Linked DNA regions of Drosophila melanogaster. The gene in region 1 interacts genetically with each later gene. Each region holds a gene or a part of one and is shown on either strand. Other genes may lie near its edges.

Region 1 (7,277 bases):
AACATGTGAATGTGTTTTTGAACTAATTAGAGCCAAGGTCAAAGTTGATGGTCTAATCAAAATGATAGCGCGGATTTACAGGCAATTGATAAGTTTGAGTTTTCAGGGAATTCCTTTGGGAAGTGGCAATTTTTAGGTTTTGAAATATTTTTGTAAGTTGCAGTCACCATACATTTATTTAGGGGCCACTTTGGTTTGGCTTGAACCGCCCGCAAATCAAATTTGCAGCAGTCGCGTGTATTAGTCAGCAATTTGTTGCTTTTCGCTACGTCAGTGTTTTACTTTTTCTTTTTTTTTTTTACTCTCCACTGCTGGCTGTTCGATGTTCGCTGCTCGTTTCATTTGGTTCATAATTGACCCCCAGATGTGAACTCGGTGTCCGGAGATATGACTCTGTCCAACGTTCCGATAGGAGAATCGAGATCGCCATCCGAGCTGGCTGGCAAGCAATTTAGACAATTCAATTCGCCGCGCTTGATTGCCAGCATTCTATATCATCACTTGTTTTGCATACGTACATTTTCCAAATTGACTGATTCATCATCGGCTAAATGCGGTTCATGTTCGCGAGGGACAAGTTCAAATGGCAAAAAAGTGGGTTAAAACGAAAGTAGCCAGCCAAACAAAGGTGGCCAAACAGCCAAGGCGGCCGAGTTGAAAGTAAATTTCGCATACGAAATTAAAAAGTAAATATATCACAAAGAATAAAATCGATTGTTTGCTGTCAATAAGGGAACGGCCTTTGGGATTGGGAAACACGGCTGCGATAAGATCGTCAAATAAATAAGCACACAAGCCGCTCGAACTCGCTGCACGGAGAGAAAAGAAGGCATACTACTTCAAAAATGTAGCCCCAGTGCAACTGGTATGTGTGTGTGTGTGTGTTGCTCTTAGCCCACAACAAAAGCCAGCAATTAGCGTATTGGCCAACTTGCTGGCGACGGAAATAAACGCTCTTGGCGAGACAGGGGGTCTGAACTGAACTGAACTGAACTGAAAACATAGTTAATGTGGATGTGCCACACGCACACACCTGTTCGTGGGACATCTGTCGAATCGGACATGTGTATATATGTATGTAGCTTATGTTTACTCGGAATCATCGCTTTTGGCCAAAACATTGGGCCTGATTTATGGGCAACTGAAAGGCTTTTCCGTGGAAGCGAAGAATGAGCCTCTGGCAAGTTCGGCAAATCGGAAGCAGAAGCATATACATATGTACATAAGCCACCACCACATTCTACTATAGCTAACTAAATGTACATATTTCGCTTTGAATGCGGCAAAAGCGAGCGTGGTCGTCGTGTGGGCAGCCGCTCAATTAAGAGCAGCCAGCGTTTAGGATCATTTGATTTCCCAGCGGCTGTCTTCTAATTTGAGCAGCCAGCTCGCACAACACACGCCCAGCAGACAGCAGACAGCTCTCCGGATTCGGATGCGGGTTCGGGTTCTCTAGTAGTTCTCAAGATATATAAATATATATATGATATGTATATATATACATATATATGCATACATCTGCGGCGATCTCTCGATCGCGATCGTTGCCAATTTCGCTCGCCGGAGATTCTGATGCGATTCAGTCGCAAACGAACAACGAACCATCGAAGTTTAGAAAATATCTAACAATTAAAAGCGATCGCGCGCGCGCTTTTCCTCGAATCGCATCGCATCGAATCGAAACGCGAAACTCAAACAACGAAACGAAAATAAATTTGGAAAACTGCAATTGTCGTTGGGTTTTCGGTGCGCGTGCATTGCCAAAACGAATCAGGAGCAAAAAAAACGAATCAGTCGGCTATATGTACATATATACATATAGACGCAAAACAACGCACATTTCTCGGCTGCAAGCGCGTGGATCGAAATATATATGCCATACGAATATACATATATATATATATATATATGTAAATATAGCCAAACCCAGAAATAAAAGCGCAAAGGGAGGCATAACACTCGCTGTGTTGAGAGGCGTTGCCCATGGCCGAGGAATTTCTGAATACAACAAATGCAGCATTAATTGAACTAGCTCAAGGCTCCATGTCCGTGTAAATCTCTATAATTATATAATAATCGAATTTGCGGCTCACACAGTGGAGCGACTTAAACTGGACACGTGTCGCTGGATTTTGGGCCTCGCACACTTACGATAAACTGCGTCGATTATGAGCGCTTTCGCCGAGCGGAATGTGCGTTTCAATCCTTTGCGAAATCAGCAAACGCTTATCGTTAAGCGGCTGAGACCGCCGGAGAGCCAAAACTTCAAGAACTGAGCAATCGAACAACGAACATATACGAAATCTGCTCACGGCTCGCAGCTAGCAAGAAGTCAAATCAAACGAACCCTTTTTCTTTATTAGGAAAGAGCCAACGCAGAAAGCAAACGAAATACACAATACACACAAAAAAAAGAAGCTATGAAACAAAGCCAAAAACGAACGAATTTCTAAGCAACTAGAACAACACTGCGACAACAAACAGCATAGGAGCATCCAAACGAACGGAATTATAAAGACAAGAAAGGATCATCAGCACATTGTTAGGAAACTTTGGGAACAGAGTCCCAATTTGTACATATACTCTAGTTTAGCTAGTAACTAGATTCTTAGATTGTTGAATTGTTTTTGTTGATTTTGAATACAATTCGCATATATCATTGTTGTCCCAATTGTTGTGTTAGCTTAGCTAGGCTAAGAACCCCAACGAATACTAGTCAGCCGCCCAACTGTGCGTATACGCAACGCGAGTGCGTATACTTAATATTTAGGTTTAGATCGATAAGCAGCGAACAAATGATGAAAAATCTCAACGGTAGGACGCACAATGCGTGCTACCATCCCTACTACCACCAATCGCTGCATTTTGCTCAGCAGCAGCAGCAGCAGCAGCAGCATCATCTGCAGCAACAGCAGCAACATATGCAGCAGCAGCAGCAGCAACAGCAAGCGCCGCAGCAACAGTTGCGTCATCAGCAACGGCAACTGCCCACGCAGCCAGCCTACCAGCAATCGCAATCGGTTGCCCACAATGCTTTTCCACTGCGCAGCAGCAGCAACAATTATGGCCATGTTGCTAGCAGCGCCTACGCTGCCAGCAGCGGCAGTCACAACAGCAACAATGCGGCTGCCATGGCCGCCGTCTGCCAAATGCAGAATTTTTTCAACCAGCAACAGCAGCAGCAGCAGCAACTGGAGTTCAACAACAATTGCATGCCCATTAATTACTACCAGCAGCAGCAGCAGCAACATTACCCTTCCGAGTCCCAGTCCTCCGCCTCCGGCTGGAATCCCGAAACCCCTGGGCAGGCGCAACTCGCCTTGACGGCCACAACATGCAACACCACTGCAGCTGCAACATGCAACACCACTGCAGCTGCAACAACGAGCACAACTGCAACATCTGCTGCCGCTGGCAGCGACAACAACCACAGCGACAACTTTGCAATGGACGCCAGTGAGATAGCCACTTTCCTCGCCAACGAGCTTTTCCTACAGCAGGTACCACAGATCGATCGATGATGATGCCTCCGATTCTGGTCGAGATTGGGATAGATTTGGGCGCGAAACAATTGGCAAGCGGCATGCGTACTTAATCATCGCCGAAAATAGAACAAATGCGGAACAACAAAGGGGTGGGCAAATATAAACAAAGTGATGGATTGGCCGCCTCTCTTTCGGTTTCTTCATCTCTCTTCGCCTCTTTTTTTTTCGTTTTTTGTTTGGCCAAAAACACGTTCGCTAATTCGCTAGAAATGTACGGATAAGCAAGAGGTCTTACAGACTTAGCAATAGCTTTTGATGTTGACTGATATCTGAACTCGACCCAAATTACTCATGTGATAAGAATAAATTCCCAAACATCCTTAAGCTATTCGCGGGCAACACTGCGTATGCGTGATATATGTATACTGATATGGCATTGTAGAGGGTTTCGTGCTTGTCATGAGCTTTAATGAGCGTTAATAGTAATCCATCTTCTCAGATACTTGCACTCATAGATGTCTTTACTAATCATGCACCTTTTCTGCTCTTGCAGCTCGGCAACTTTGAGACCGGCCAGAGTGTTCTCACACTGACGACGCCCACGTTGACGCCGACCACCACGCGCAACATCGAGGACACACTGGGCCACTTGCTCTCGGACACGCAGACCGATCGTGTGGCTGGTTGCGCGGGATTTGCAGTGCCAAAGGTGCTACCCAATGCCATTGATGTCCTGGGCATGGGTATTCCCACCGGTGTTTCGTCGCTCCCACTTCAGCAGACATTCGATTTGAGCCTGGGGCAGGGCAGCGAGTCCGAGGACTCCAACGCTTCGTACAACGATACGCAGATGAACGAGGAGCAGGACACGACCGATACTTGTAAGTGAAGCTGGCACGAATTGCTCCGAATGTCTACTAACTCCCTTTTATTTCATACGCCTGCAGCAAGTGCCCATACGGACAGCACCTCGTACCAAGCTGGCCACATCATGGCGGGCAGCGTGAACGGCGGCGGTGTCAACAACTTCTCCAATGTCCTGGCCGCCGTGAGCTCTAGCCGCGGATCGGCGTCGGTGGGCAGCAGCAACGCGAATACCTCAAATACGCCGGCTCGTCGTGGCGGTGGCAGACGCCCCAACCGGTCGACGAACATGACCCCGGAGGAGGAGCAGAAGCGGGCCGTGCGCCGGGAGCGGAACAAACAGGCGGCGGCCCGTTGCCGCAAGAGGCGCGTGGACCAGACCAACGAGCTCACCGAGGAGGTGGAGCAGCTGGAGAAGCGGGGCGAGAGCATGCGCAAGGAGATCGAGGTGCTGACGAATAGCAAGAATCAGCTGGAGTACCTTCTGGCCACCCACCGGGCCACCTGCCAAAAGATTCGCTCCGACATGCTGAGCGTGGTCACCTGCAACGGTCTGATTGCCCCGGCCGGACTCCTGAGTGCAGGGAGCAGCGGCAGCGGCGCGAGCAGCCATCACAACCACAACAGCAACGACAGCAGCAACGGCACGATTACGGGCATGGACGCCACGCTGAACTCCACCGGGAGGAGCAATTCACCCTTGGATCTCAAGCCGGCGGCGAACATCGATAGCCTGCTGATGCACATCAAGGACGAGCCACTCGATGGCGCCATCGACTCAGGATCCAGCCTGGACCAGGACGGTCCGCCGCCCAGCAAGCGCATCACCTTGCCGCCCATGTCCACGATGCCGCACGTTCACTTGTCCACGATATTAACGCCCACCGGCGCCTCGTCGGGATCTCTGCAGACGCCGATCACGAGCACGGCGCCCGGCGGATTCGGCAGCGCCTTCCCGGTGACCTCCAACGGCAGCAGCATCAACAACATCAACAGCATCGGCAACAACATGAACTCTCCCACGCTGAATGCGCATAACAAGGTGCCTAAGGAGCGGCCCAATACGCTGGCTTTCCAGCGTCCTCTGGGCCAGATGCACCTCACCATGGCCAACAACAAGGCGGGTGGGCCCACGCAGATCCAGGGCGTGCCCATCCAGACGCCCTCGACCGGCACCTTCAACTTCGACTCCCTGATGGACGGCGGCACTGGGCTAACGCCCGTCTCCGGACCCCTCGTACCGAACAGCTCCTCCACGAACAAGCACCCGCTGGAGCTGCCCACGCCCACCGCCGAGCCGTCCAAGCTGGTCAGCTTATAACCGGACCGGATCTGGGACGGGGATGGGGGCCGAGTCAGGATTAAGTTAAGTTTTATATAGTTGGCAGGCAAACAACGGAAGGAAACCGCGAAGCACTTTTCTAGTTGTAGGAGATGTTTTCATTTTTGTAATATGCTGTAATATGCGTAAACGTGACGAATGTGTTGTTTCGTTAACTCTAATGTTTTTGTATTATTATCTTTATTATGGTTAATTTATGATTTCGCTATGTCTTTTACATACGCCGAGGAGCTATGTACATATGTTATGTACTTGTAATTTGTGCAATTTTCAAACCTCTTCATTGCGCGTTGTATATTTTCAAAAAATATAAGAACGCGAACGCGAACGCGAACGACCGACGATGCATGATGAGAATGATAAGGATAATGATGATAATAGGGCGTGTAGATTTGCAGGATGCGTTGTGATATTTATTATAAAACGAATACAAAAGATGCGAGGATGAAACAAAGTAGAAAGCAAACAGGAGCGTCTAATGAAAGGAACTAAGCCGGTTTTAAAATTGTACATTTAAACGAATCGTAAAGCGTAAATATACTATAAAACAAAACAAAGTGAATATATATTCAGCATACAAACTAAATACAATGCCTTGAGAGAGAATTAAGAAATGCAAACCTTTATATATAGAGATCTACATACATATATGTATGCATGTACATTTAAAGCTAAACAATAATGGCGTTGAAGCGAGTTTTATATTGAGCAAAAGCAAATGTGAAATGAGATAAATATACTTATTGTGTACTCTGTAAGCTGCAGTAGAAACCAAAATATATTTTTACTAAACGCAACATTGCGCTATTTTCAAATACCATTTATAAGAAATGACAAAAGCAAAGCAATTATTTAATATGTAATTATGTATTATGTATACCTATATCTACCTACCCACAACCTTAAATCAAAAAACCCAAAACGATTCAACAAAAGCTGATCAGGTAAAGCAACTCTCGCCAGTTTCCACACTAAATTCTCAGAATATTCAAAATTTTAATCTATACAAAACCAAACCGATTGATAGCAAATAAATGCACTTATAAGGGCAGAAAAACACCAAAATTTAAAAATGAAATGGAATAAAATAGAAATAAAAAGACCGACAAAACCTAAAGACGATTTGTGGAATTATTTCTGAAGTTATAGCGATTCACATGACTTGCAAATGGGCTGGCTCGTCGTCAGGTAAACATATCAGGTAGATTAGGGTGGACCAACAAAGGCTGCATTCTCAATTTCTGCAGACTTCTTCAAGCGATTTGAAGTACTTACTTATGGAAGTAAACCTCATTGAGAAAATGGCTCTAATGTGAAAATGCGATCATTCAAGTTATGAAAACATTATGAGATAGAAACACCTAGTTGCTGCCATAAAGACCAGTCTGAAGGGCAGGTAAACGCAGCCGTGTTCTTCCACTCGTCTGATAATGGCACAAACGAGTATATATGTACATACAACACACGCTGCATATATTCATTTTCGGGTTTGCCTTATTTTGCATTTTTTTTTGTTTTTTTTGGGATCTGTTGCTTTCGGTGCAGCCACGAATCGCGGATCTCTGTTTCAGTTACTCGAGAAGCGG
Region 2 (4,626 bases), on another chromosome or scaffold:
CAGCAAACAAGAAATTACCAAATATGTATTGTATTATCAATTGAGTTTCAGTGAAATAATTGTGTGTGCTATAATTGAATGCAAGCAGAGGTTTTGCCAAAACCTGGCCATGTTTAGGTATTTCATTAAAAACACGCTCATAAACTACACTTGTATAATTGAAAAACTTGGCATCCTTTTAAATGCAATACGCTTTTATTGGGAAATTTCTCAATATGATTTAAACAACATTTCAGCCCGCCTAAGGGTTAATGTTCCAAGATGAAATCCCAATAGGTTTTAGTTCGAATCTTTCCCTTTTCCGTCTTCTTCTTGGCGCTTTTGTTGTTGCCCTGCCTGCGCTTTAGAGATCGGCATCTCGAATCTCCAATTGGAGTGAGGTTTTTTGTTATTTTCCTTTTGCACTCGGCGAGAAAATGCAGGGCAAAGAGCGAGTCTGATAGCGGGAAGGAGCAAAATGAACGACCCAACAACTAGCCGTACTAATTGGCATACACACATGCCACGCCTCCAACTGCTCCTAAGTGCACACACACACACACACACACACATACACACATGTGCATAAGTTTTTTTGAATTGTTACCGGTGCCAATTTGTTTTTGCGAGTGTATTTATTTGAATTTACTTTTATTCGCGTGAATATGTGTGAGTGCGAGAGAATTAAATCGCCGGCTGAGATAAAATAAAAGTCACTACAACAATAACAACAATGCTATTCACTCGCCTCTCGCTCGCACACGCTTCGCTTTTCGTTTGCTTTGCTTTGCGTTGCCTTTTTTTTCCGTTGTTTCCCCCCCACCCCTCTCCGTTTTTGCACACAACGCTGCGAGGTTAAGTTTGCGATTTTAGGAATTGTACGATTTCTACGGCTTTTCCGACATCGACATCACATTTAGAGGAACGAGAGGTGTTTACCATGCCATTTGGTGTGGCGAGCATATATCTTCCGCTTCCGATCGGATCGGCGATTGTCTTAAACTTTCAGAGGCTGCAACTATAGCTTTTTGTTGTTCTTTTTTTTTTTTCTTTCGCTTTTGTTTCTTTGGGATTTGGGTTTGTGGCGTGGCACTGTCGGCACGACACTTAAGGGTTAAGGTTAAGGGCCAATCGCCATGATTCCCAAATGTGTTTACTTCGGTTTTCCACAGCCGATTTTTGTCTATTTTCACAGTAAAAAAAATATTCACAATATTCACACGAACGCACACACGCAGAAATGGCCTAAAAATATACTGTAAGTTGGTGTAAAAAAAATACCGAAACGAGTGTGCAAAGAAGCCATCTGGCGGAACGATGAGTGCGCTTAACATGCACAGTTGTGTCTGTTAAAGTAGCAGTTTAGCGGTCACTTGTTACTTAGCGTGTGCACCAACCATAGTTATCGGATACTTAAACCGCTCGCCAGCGAGTGCACAACTCGCTCGCTCGCCTATCGAGTACATCAACCAGCAAAGCGAGTACACCCACCAGCCTTAGCGATCACACCCACCTCAATATAAGACGGAACTTATTGGTATTTTTGTGTTATTCTTAGTGATGCTTGTGCTTGGTATAATTGATCGATGGCAGAGCGGTCACATTGGTGCACCTCTGTGGTATTTTTCCACTTTCACACTAGTTTCTTTCAAGCAAGCAAAACCAACGGAACTTTAATTGCGGTGTGCGGCGAACGAGAAGAGAAACCGAAAAGCAGCCAATTTACTGTTGCGTTCCGATCCTGTTAATTCATCAGTTGCCGATTCTCCGATCGCGCCTGTAACTTTTTTGTTTAGTTTAGTGCATCAAGTGCGAGATAACACAGCAAAGCAACAACAAACGAAGCGACAGGCCAAAGCGGACGCGCAAAATACAATAAAAAGGAAGGAAGAAAACGAAGTACGCAAAAAGGAGGAAAGAGAAGCAAAAGCATTTACAGCTAAAGCATTATAGAGTGATTACGCATATTTCGTATGTTGTTCTTCATGATGTCTGCCGTGTGGAAAGATTCTTTCTTTTTATCTGGGTGTATACACCGATGAAATCCCAGAAAGGAATATACACAGGGGTTTTTTGTTTCATAAACAAAATTTGTAAAAGCCGCCAAAAGGCGCCGCTGCCGGCGTTGCAGTCGACGTCGAAGAAAGTGGATGTGTGTGTGTGTGTGTGTATATGTGTGTGAGCAAAGCAAGAGGTGAAAAAAAAACTCAGCAGTGAAATCTTTCTGCTGCTATTTGCTTTGTTGAATATTTAAATGTAAACTAAATAAAAGGTATTGCGCTTGGCATTTTTGTGTGTGTGCTCCATTCAGCAAAATAAAGGAAAGGAGCGGACTGATGAGCACACGGAGAGCGAGAGATAGAGAGAGAGAGAGAAAGAAAAGGAGAAGGGCGGCGAGAGCCTTTTATCAACGGCTATCAGCAGAAATATTTGTTGCCGCACCCCGCTTGACCTTATTCTCTCTCGCTCTCGCTGCCGCTCTCTCCTGCTTTATCGCCCTCTCTTTTTGCGGGGTGTGCAAGGTGCAGTCGCCGCCCGCATTTTGCGCGTTGACTCATACACACAAACACACACACACAAGCAAGCACGCACACGCCCCCATCGCCCCTTTGCTTTTTAAACTTCTCTTTATCCCAATTCCGCTTTGGGATCTCGTTTACGCCGCTCTAAATAACATTTGCCGAATTTTCCCAAGTATTAGTAATAATTTAACATTATACAAATATTATTTAACCAACAGTTAAATACAGTTGAGTTTTTTTTTAAATGACAAGTTTATTAAGCACATTTCTTCATTAATCACATATTTCGAATTTCTAAGAACCTTCTTTGGCACTCGAAAATTGTCGTTTGAAATGCAAGAAAATTCGCAGAAACGGTGTCTGGTTTTAATCTCTGTTATTTTGTGAGATCGCTTTTGATGGCATTCGCTCTGTGGCGTTATTTTCTCACAGTGACCCGTTTTCCGCTACCATCTTTCCCTTTCCCCATTTCTCATTATCTCCACGAACGTGCCGATTTTCGGGTTCTGTTGCTAATCGGAGAACCATTTTGACATTAGCGTTAGATCATCATGATGGTGATCGTTAGTTAATCCGCTTCAACTTTATGCGCATCTGAATGTTCCATCTTTTTATCCAACACGCCTAAAGCAAATGAGGAAAACTGAAAAACGTGACACAGAAAAATGGTTTTACAGTTTCTAATTAGGCTCAAGTTCAAGATCAATTTGAGTGCCAGCTTGTTTTATATTGAATAATTTCATTTATCTATGACTCACTTAATCGTATGTGTTGACCCCTTTCCCCCTTTCACCAACATTTCCTAATTATTTGTTTGTTTGTTTGGTTGCCAAGGGGCGTTAAAAGCTCTCACCAATTGAACGAAATGCGAACGGGGGGAAGTGAATAGCTGAAGTATGTCAAAAAAAAATGCGTTCTCAGTTCCTTTAAAACTGAGTGCTTAAATAATCAATAACTGCTCTTTGTGTAGTTTGCCTTATTATTTACAAAATGCGAAACCAGTTTTGATTTCAGATCGGTCTGTAGAATATGAGCCATTCATATTCCAGAGAAATTTAATCGTTATCAAAAGTGTAAACAAAATCTTACATTATTTGCAAGATATAGCCGAGCAATTTGTTAGCTGTTTCACCTCTGACCTTTTCAAATATAATTCTCTGGCAGGCGAGAATAGATTAACAATAGAGTTGAAAACACTGACTCATAATCTTCACGATCTTTCGCAGTGACACAGTTTTTGGTATATATGTAGTTTTCTCATCTTTTGTTCGGCATCTCCGGCATGTTTGCTAACTTGGCCAGAAGGGAGAAGATAGCGCAAGTCGGCCAACTTAGCCTAATTTATAGCCATCAAGCTGTGATTTGCTCTAATTTCACTTCTAATGGAGTTTTGTCAAGGGAGACAAATCACGGAAATGGGTTCTATTTCTATGTTTCTTCTAGGCCAAGTCCATTATGGCCAACATTAAAGTTTGTTTTCTACGAATAATAATGTTGGCCTAATGCAAAAGTTATACACACTTGATGATAATTGTCCATAATGGCCAAATATGTCTGCCGAATGTCTTCAAAATACGTTTTATATACCTGATTATCAATGAATTGTGCATTAAATACGTGTAATGACTTTGTTATTTTCCAATTAAATGATTAATCGCCCGTTACCAACGATCTACGATATCCGTTTGTAAAGCATTTAACATTTGAAAATCTTGAGATTTCTTCCAACAAACGATTCTTGACAAAGTCGCGCGCGCAATCACATATTTGTTAGCTGACTTTAGTTTGTTACATCATCGTATCAGCATCTCCAAAGTTCTCTCAACACATTTGCCTTATACAGGTTTTATTTGTTTTATGCCCAGGCTCTCAAGTGTTTCCCCATGGCTTTTGTTGTTGCTCCATCGCATTTCAAGATCTTTTATCACAGCTGACTATGCCTAGGTTTTAATTATGCTCTCCTCGCTTCAGAAAACACTTCCCACGCATTGTTCGTACATATATGTACCTATTTTTCATATACCACTCGGTGTGAAATAAGTTTTTAGTTTTTTTTTTTTTTTTTTTTTTAGGTATCGCTATCTGCAAAGGCAGATCAAACTTGCTCGGCCAAATAAAAACACTT
Region 3 (6,807 bases), on another chromosome or scaffold:
TTTAAAAATGCCAAGGAATGCAGAGCAAAAATCCTTAATTGCTTTATTCCTTAACCTTTTCAAGGAACGCAATAAAATTAAAAAAAAAATTTAAAATAAAAAGCACTGCGACGATTCATTTATCTTTAAAATGTTGTTTTTGTTACTTTCTAGGTCAAATTAATTTGAAGATTTAGTATATACTGTGGAAATGTTGCTAATAGTCCCAATAATCGTTAAATATTATTGCAAAAGCATATTTAATTAAAATTAATTGTGATCGGGAAATTATTGTTCCGGATGTACTATACCTAGCATATTACACACTTTTCTATTGACATTACACTGTAAACACCGGGAAAATTGTCTAATTTCTTAGTATTCGTCAAGGGAGAAGCTCCGTTGGCGGAACATTGAAACCGTCAATTATAAAGAGCGGCATTTATAAGAAATTTTAGCAAATGTATAAAGGTGGTACTATTAAGGGATCAAGGGCTTCTAATCGTTGCAATTATACAGAAATCGTTATTGGTACAGCAACAACAAGAATTGAGAATTTCCTGTGTGTGACAAACAAGGAGAGCAATTGAAATAAGCGGCCCAACCCTGCCAACAAAAAGGGCCAATCTTGCGGATACCGAAGCTTGCAGCAAACATACCAAATAAGCCACCGATCGATTGTGAGAGCAAACACCGGTCTAATACACAGTAAGAAATTATAGTGCCATAACCATATAGTGTAGACCATGCATATAAGTAAGTATCCAATATTTGGTTAATTGTAGTATAAGATTCAAAAGCTAAAGTGTATTTTTCATTCGATTGATTGTTGCCACTCCGTTTTGTATTCCATTTAAATAAACTAATCAAGGCATTTTTTTGACATCTTAAAAATGGGTTCTCATTCCATAGTTAAGAAGAGCTATAAAGTAGTTTAACTATGCCTTTTATTTGGATCACAAATGCATAGAAGAAAAACAGAACTGAATAATAAAGTGTTTTATAAACGTACCAATTTATGATTTAATATTTTGTAAATAAATATAGCAGCGAAATTCTCAGAACTAGCCGGAATTTTCTTGAATTTTTCAAAGAAAACTATTTATATTTACAATAAAAATTGATATTGGTAGCTTAATATGAAATATGTTATTGGGCTATTCAAATTTTCAAAATTATTTTTGTGTTACGGTTTTGATAAAAAATGCAGATATCATCAACTGGCGAAGAGCAAAAGGAGCAATGTTTGGTAAACAAGAATGCAAACGTGCACACAAAACGAAAACAAACCCGGAGACTATTGTCAATAAGATACAAAACGCAGATACAAAGATACAAAGCAGCAGCAGCGAATTTTTATCACTTAGCCGCCACGTTGACGCGTCCTCCGAAGGTGTAAAAAACTCTACAAAATGTGCGCGCTCTCTCTCTCTCTCTCTCTCTCTTACTTGCGCGACCCTTCTCCCTTGCACTATCTCTCGCCTTGTCTCGCTCCCACTCGGTCCTTTTGGGCGGCAGCGACGCAGCAGCGACCAACCACTACAGAGACACCCTCATACTTACAAACACCCACGTTCTTCCTCTTGCCCCTTTTTGTTGCGTTTGTTTGCCGTTTTTGTCGCAAGTTTTCGAATGTGTTTTCAAATCTAAATTGTCGCGCACTCGAAACGGACGCGCTGCGCTCGGCTAACGGTGAATCGGCAGTCTAACGGTTTAAATACTTTCAACGTTCGTAAATTCGAGGCTCTATAAATCTCGAACTGTTTGGAAAATAAGTTAAAAATTCATATCAGTGCACTTGTGTATTTTTAGGAGTTCTAATGGCGATCAACAATAATTAACCTAGTAATATTAATAAACAAAAAGAACTCGATCGCAACGTAAACTCTTGTGCAATTAATTAGATAGTTAAGTGTCACGCATCGGATGGAATCCAAATTTAAACTTTATTAGGGAGAAATTAAAAGACAATTAATACAGGTAAGCTAATTATGATGATGAGAAAAGGTCCCTAGGTAAACAATTCGAATATTTAAATATGAAATGAAGAAAAAGCTGTGCTCTAAATTAAACTATTGCACACTCCTCCCCAAAAACTAAACACTTTAAAAAAGCGAAATAAGCGAACAAATATATTTTCTTAAAAAAGAAACCAAAAGATTTATAAGGATATGAAATATATAATGAATTTTATGAATATTTGCAATTTTCAATGTTAGAAAAGCCTGTTTTAAAAAATATATCATTTTCCAATCCAATCTTTAATTAATTCATCATTTGAAATCGAATTTGGCAGTACTGTTAATATGCAAATATACGTTCTTCAAGGAATATATTTTGGATAATATTAATTTAAGGGAAATCCCCAATTTTGCAAATACTCAATACTGAAAACTGATTTGAATTACTGGTAAATATTTAAATTGGTTTGTCATAAAACCGGGACACCATTTTGAGCCCCCTGTACACACACATTAGAAGGGGTAAATGGAGTTCCATTGTGCATATTTTTGGTAAGCTATTCGCAGTGCGAAGAGCTCCAATCAAATGACTCATGCAGGGAGCAGCAGACAGAGTCCCCAAGCTAACAAGGCATATCTATTGAATACCATTTCCGTTGGCATTTCAGAGCTCGAGGAGCAGCTGCAGCACTACCACCTGATAATTACCACCTGCACCCCCATTGGAGTCCCTTGACTCCGCGCCCGGCATCATGACGAGCATCTCGGCCCTGCTCCATCGGAGCCACAGCCACAGCAATGGTTACACGAGCAGCGGGAGTAGCAATCACAGCCATAGCAGCAGTCTCTCACCGCAGTTGCCCGGCATCAATTTGGGTTTGGGCATGGTCGGTGGCTTGGGCATGGGTATGAGTGTGGGAGTAGGCTCTGGATCGGGAAACACCACCCCACCACCGATGCCGCCAGCTGACCTCGCCGTTCCGCCAGCGGCCCCCACTCCGGTGGCACCCAAAATGCACCAGCACACGCACCACCATGGCAACTCCCACCATAATGCCCCGACCAGCCACTCGAATTCGAATACTGGAAGCCATCACAACAGCCACGACCACATTAAGCGACCAATGAACGCTTTCATGGTCTGGTCGCGGGGGCAGCGTCGCAAAATGGCCCAGGACAATCCAAAAATGCACAATTCTGAAATATCAAAACGCCTGGGCGCCGAGTGGAAATTACTCACCGAAGGACAGAAGCGTCCATTCATCGACGAGGCAAAACGATTGCGGTAAGTATTGTTCACTGGGGTCTGGTTAAAAAGCACTGAGAAAATATGTATGTACTAAATTTGTAAACAGAAATAAGAGTATTTTCTTACCTGGAAAAGTCCTTACCTTTCAATTCAAAAGTTAATTTTCCAAGTCTATTATTAATAGGGTTTATTAGGGCGAAGTTATATTTAAAAAAAATAAAAAGATATGGATCCCATTGATGTTAAAAATCACAGATTATCATATTGCAGTAATCCTATATTAATTTAAACTAGGAAAAACATAGTTCTTGTATTTTTTGTAGTTACCTCCGCTTTCTATTCTTGGATATAAGAATTACTTTGTTTATTCAATTTTATTCAGTCCACACGATATACATTTTTTTTCTGTGCCGGCTTATGCAGGAGCAGAGTGGTGTAGGTTGGATGGGAAATTCTGGCTTGGTTTCGGTTACCATTTTCCCAGTTGGTAGCTCATTCTCACTAGATGCCGTCTGGCCACAAAATTTGATCGATTAGCTAAGACAAAGGCTACCTATTGTGAGGAGCTCCTGCTGAATTGCGGAGCTCTGGAGTCGGGGATTGTGTCCGCTCTGCTTAGTCAGAATTTCATTGGCACTGCCATATCTTGGGTAAACATTTCAATTGAAGTTGTCACACAAAAGCGAGGCAACACGTCGCATGAAATGCTCCATTCATTTTGCATTTTGCTTCTTTTTGTGTGCTTAACCCATTCAGTGTACCCTTTCGAAAGGGTTTGAGTAATTTCAGTTTGAGCTTAGTTTTAATAAACGTAATTATCGGGATTAACTGAAAATACCGCTAGAATGGAGTTCTTTGTACAAGAAATATACTCAAAAGCGAGCATTTTACAAATAAGTACAAAAGTGATATCTCACATTATTTTATTTTTTATAAAACTAGCTTTTAAATAAGTTGTATTGGTATAAATGGAATCAAAATTTGCAGTGCACTTTTAAACCACAGGAATTCCCAGAAATGCCGTATCTCACAAGTTCGTTTTTTCTATGCCTTCCTAGATAGTGCGGTCTTTTATGATGACGAACCTCTGTGTTTGCACTGTCATAATCCTTTTATTGATTGGATTGGCCTGCCAAAATGGAAATGTTAAATTTTACTTACATTTTATGACATTTATAAATGATCAGGGCTCGTCAGAAGGGGCTTAAACTAATGGCCATTCGGGGTTTTCGAGCGAGCATATCGAATGAAAAGAACCAAAAATTCTGATCAAATATTTGCCAATGCGCGATGATAAGGAAAACAATATTTTTTTTCGGGACCCGCGATAAGGAGGCCATAACTGACCAAAGAAAGGAAAACAAAATAAAGAAAAGCGAAAGTAAAACAAGAGGAGGCGACCCAAACACACCTTTTATCAGGTTTTATCGTTATGTCAAACAAATGTCAACAATTGCGCATTGTTGCAGCTGGGAAATCGGAAAGAGAATCGAAGTTGGAATCGGAGTGCTGGTTCTTCGCTAAATACACAATATAAACTTGTGCATTTTGTATCTGCCTGGCGTGGGGTTTATGGAAGGGTTCCGCTTCTCTTGGGGTTTACGACCAGAGATGGCTGACTTTATGATATCATCAAAGCTTAAATCGTTCGATCTTTTGATCAGTGTTTCAACATTTATTTAATTTACAGGGCTCTGCACATGAAAGAACATCCCGACTACAAGTATCGACCACGTCGCAAGCCCAAGACGCTCAACAAGTCACCGGTGCCAGGTGGTGGTGGTGGCGGCGGTGGAGGTGGTGCCAACGGTGGTGTCAACGCTGGTGGTGCGGGTAACTCCGGTCCCAGTGGCCCAGGATCAGTTGGCTCCCCCAAGGATATGCAGCCCCAGTTGTCGCCCTTGGGTCAGTCGCTGCCACATCTCCACGGACATCCGCACCAGTCACCATATCAATCGCATCCACACCACCCGCATCCTCATCCACATCATGTCCAGCTGGCCGCCGCCACCTTGAGCGCCAAGTACGGTTTTGGTTCGCCACTGGAGTTATCGCTGCCCCGCCTGCCGAATGCCTTTCCCGGCCTCGCCCACTATCCACTGGATCCCACGTTGGCCCTGGACCTACAGGCGCGCCTCCAGGCGATGTACGCCGGCTCCATCTACCACCCGTGGCGATATCTGCCGCTGATAAGTCCGGAAACTCCACCCTCCCCGCCCAGCAGCAGCGGTACCGGCATCTCATCCTACGGATGCGTCAAGTCAGAGAAGTCCTCACCAAATGCGGTAGTGGCCAGCGCGGCCAGTCCGCCAAACATCATTTGACCGACTCCATTGCGCTTCGGCGCCGGCACCTCCTCATCCGCGGAACACGTGGTCTAGGATGAGCACCACAGAGGGAATTTGGATGGTAAACTTTACCATTCCTCTCCAAAAGTTAAAAGTCCTAATGTTAGAGCCTAGTGTTAGACGAATATTAATGCACGTCTTTAGTTGCTACTATAATTATGTTTTTGGTTCTGATTTAGTGCTGCTTCACTATTTTAGATGATTAATTTTAAAACTACATTCAAAATCTCAATTTACTGACATTTTTTGACAAATAATGAAGTTAAGTCCGGCCTCGAAAAGCAATAGACATTTTAAATCAAAGAAATTTTAAAAAATCTTAGCTAAGAAATAACACTTAGTAGTCTCTTATAATTTATATATATATATTTTATATATATTTTTTGACATTTTATTAAAATTCACAACATCATTTGAATTCGTACATATTACTTAAACTGCACTTAATATTTTTATTGATATGTTGTTATATGAATAACTCAATTCTTTCGATAAATCTTTGAATTAATCAGCTTTGAATCAGCTTAAAACACATTTTAAATGGTTTTATTCATACCTAATTTAAGGATTTCACAATCTTTGTTATCAATTTCTGGAACCCAAACAAATGGCTTATTAGATCTAAAGTACATTAGATTTGTTAAGGCATCGAGAACATGTCCACTTTTATGTAATATATGATTGTAAAACTATACTTTAATGTGATAAATGAAAGAGCAGAAATCGAATTAAAAATAGTGTGAAATTCCACGATTTTTAAACAGTGTACTTGAATAAAGCATGGCATTGGGATTTATGGCAAAATTGTAACAATAGTTTTAGGATTGAAGAACCCTATAGAGACCTGGTTTGCATGTGAGTGAAAATCATAGCTTGCAATCTGTAAGGAGTCACCGCCAAACGCCACAGGCTTCTGTGAATATAACGACAATGTTTGCTGATGCGTTGATTATTAGTTTAAATTGCCGACACGCCGCGGGGATGAATGGATGACGATGGCCAGGATTGTCTGCCGTTTCGGAAGGGTGGCGATCGTCCTTAATGGGATTCCTTCACGCCCACTTGTTTAAGCGGCCAACTGTGAAGCGCTCACCGTCGAGGCGTGTCAATAACTCTCGGCCCAAAAACAATTGGCACTTTTTTGTCTGAGGCACTGCACAAAACAAAGCAGCAACCACCACTATTATTGGACTTTTCTCTGGGTGGGTTGGGTGGAATATAGACAGCTTGGCGGTACAGGGCAATCGCGACAGCATCGTAACCAGCTGAA

What was found. Genes that interact genetically often act in the same process or in processes that back each other up.
Region 2: of kay (region 1) and Rala, changing one suppresses a phenotype caused by changing the other (phenotypic suppression), as found in Drosophila melanogaster (one study listed by BioGRID).
Region 3: of kay (region 1) and Sox21a, changing one suppresses a phenotype caused by changing the other (phenotypic suppression), as found in Drosophila melanogaster (2 studies listed by BioGRID).

Annotation. Positions count from the first base shown.
Region 1 is NT_033777.3:29,787,355-29,794,631, forward strand, and holds kay (kayak), read left to right. Parts: upstream 1-1,581; 5' UTR 1,582-2,798; coding exon 2,799-3,500; intron 3,501-4,038; coding exon 4,039-4,366; intron 4,367-4,432; coding exon 4,433-5,670; 3' UTR 5,671-6,759; downstream 6,760-7,277. UniProt on the Drosophila melanogaster protein: Developmentally regulated transcription factor AP-1 binds and recognizes the enhancer DNA sequence: 5'-TGA[CG]TCA-3'. May play a role in the function or determination of a particular subset of cells in the developing embryo.
Region 2 is NC_004354.4:3,716,615-3,721,240, reverse strand, and holds the start of Rala (Ras-like protein A), read left to right. Parts: upstream 1-1,605; 5' UTR 1,606-1,878; intron 1,879-4,573; exon of another isoform or gene 4,574-4,626.
Region 3 is NT_037436.4:14,102,960-14,109,766, reverse strand, and holds Sox21a (Sox21a), read left to right. Parts: upstream 1-1,648; 5' UTR 1,649-1,959; intron 1,960-2,608; 5' UTR 2,609-2,692; coding exon 2,693-3,225; intron 3,226-4,879; coding exon 4,880-5,513; coding exon of another isoform or gene 5,514-5,570; 3' UTR 5,571-6,286; downstream 6,287-6,807.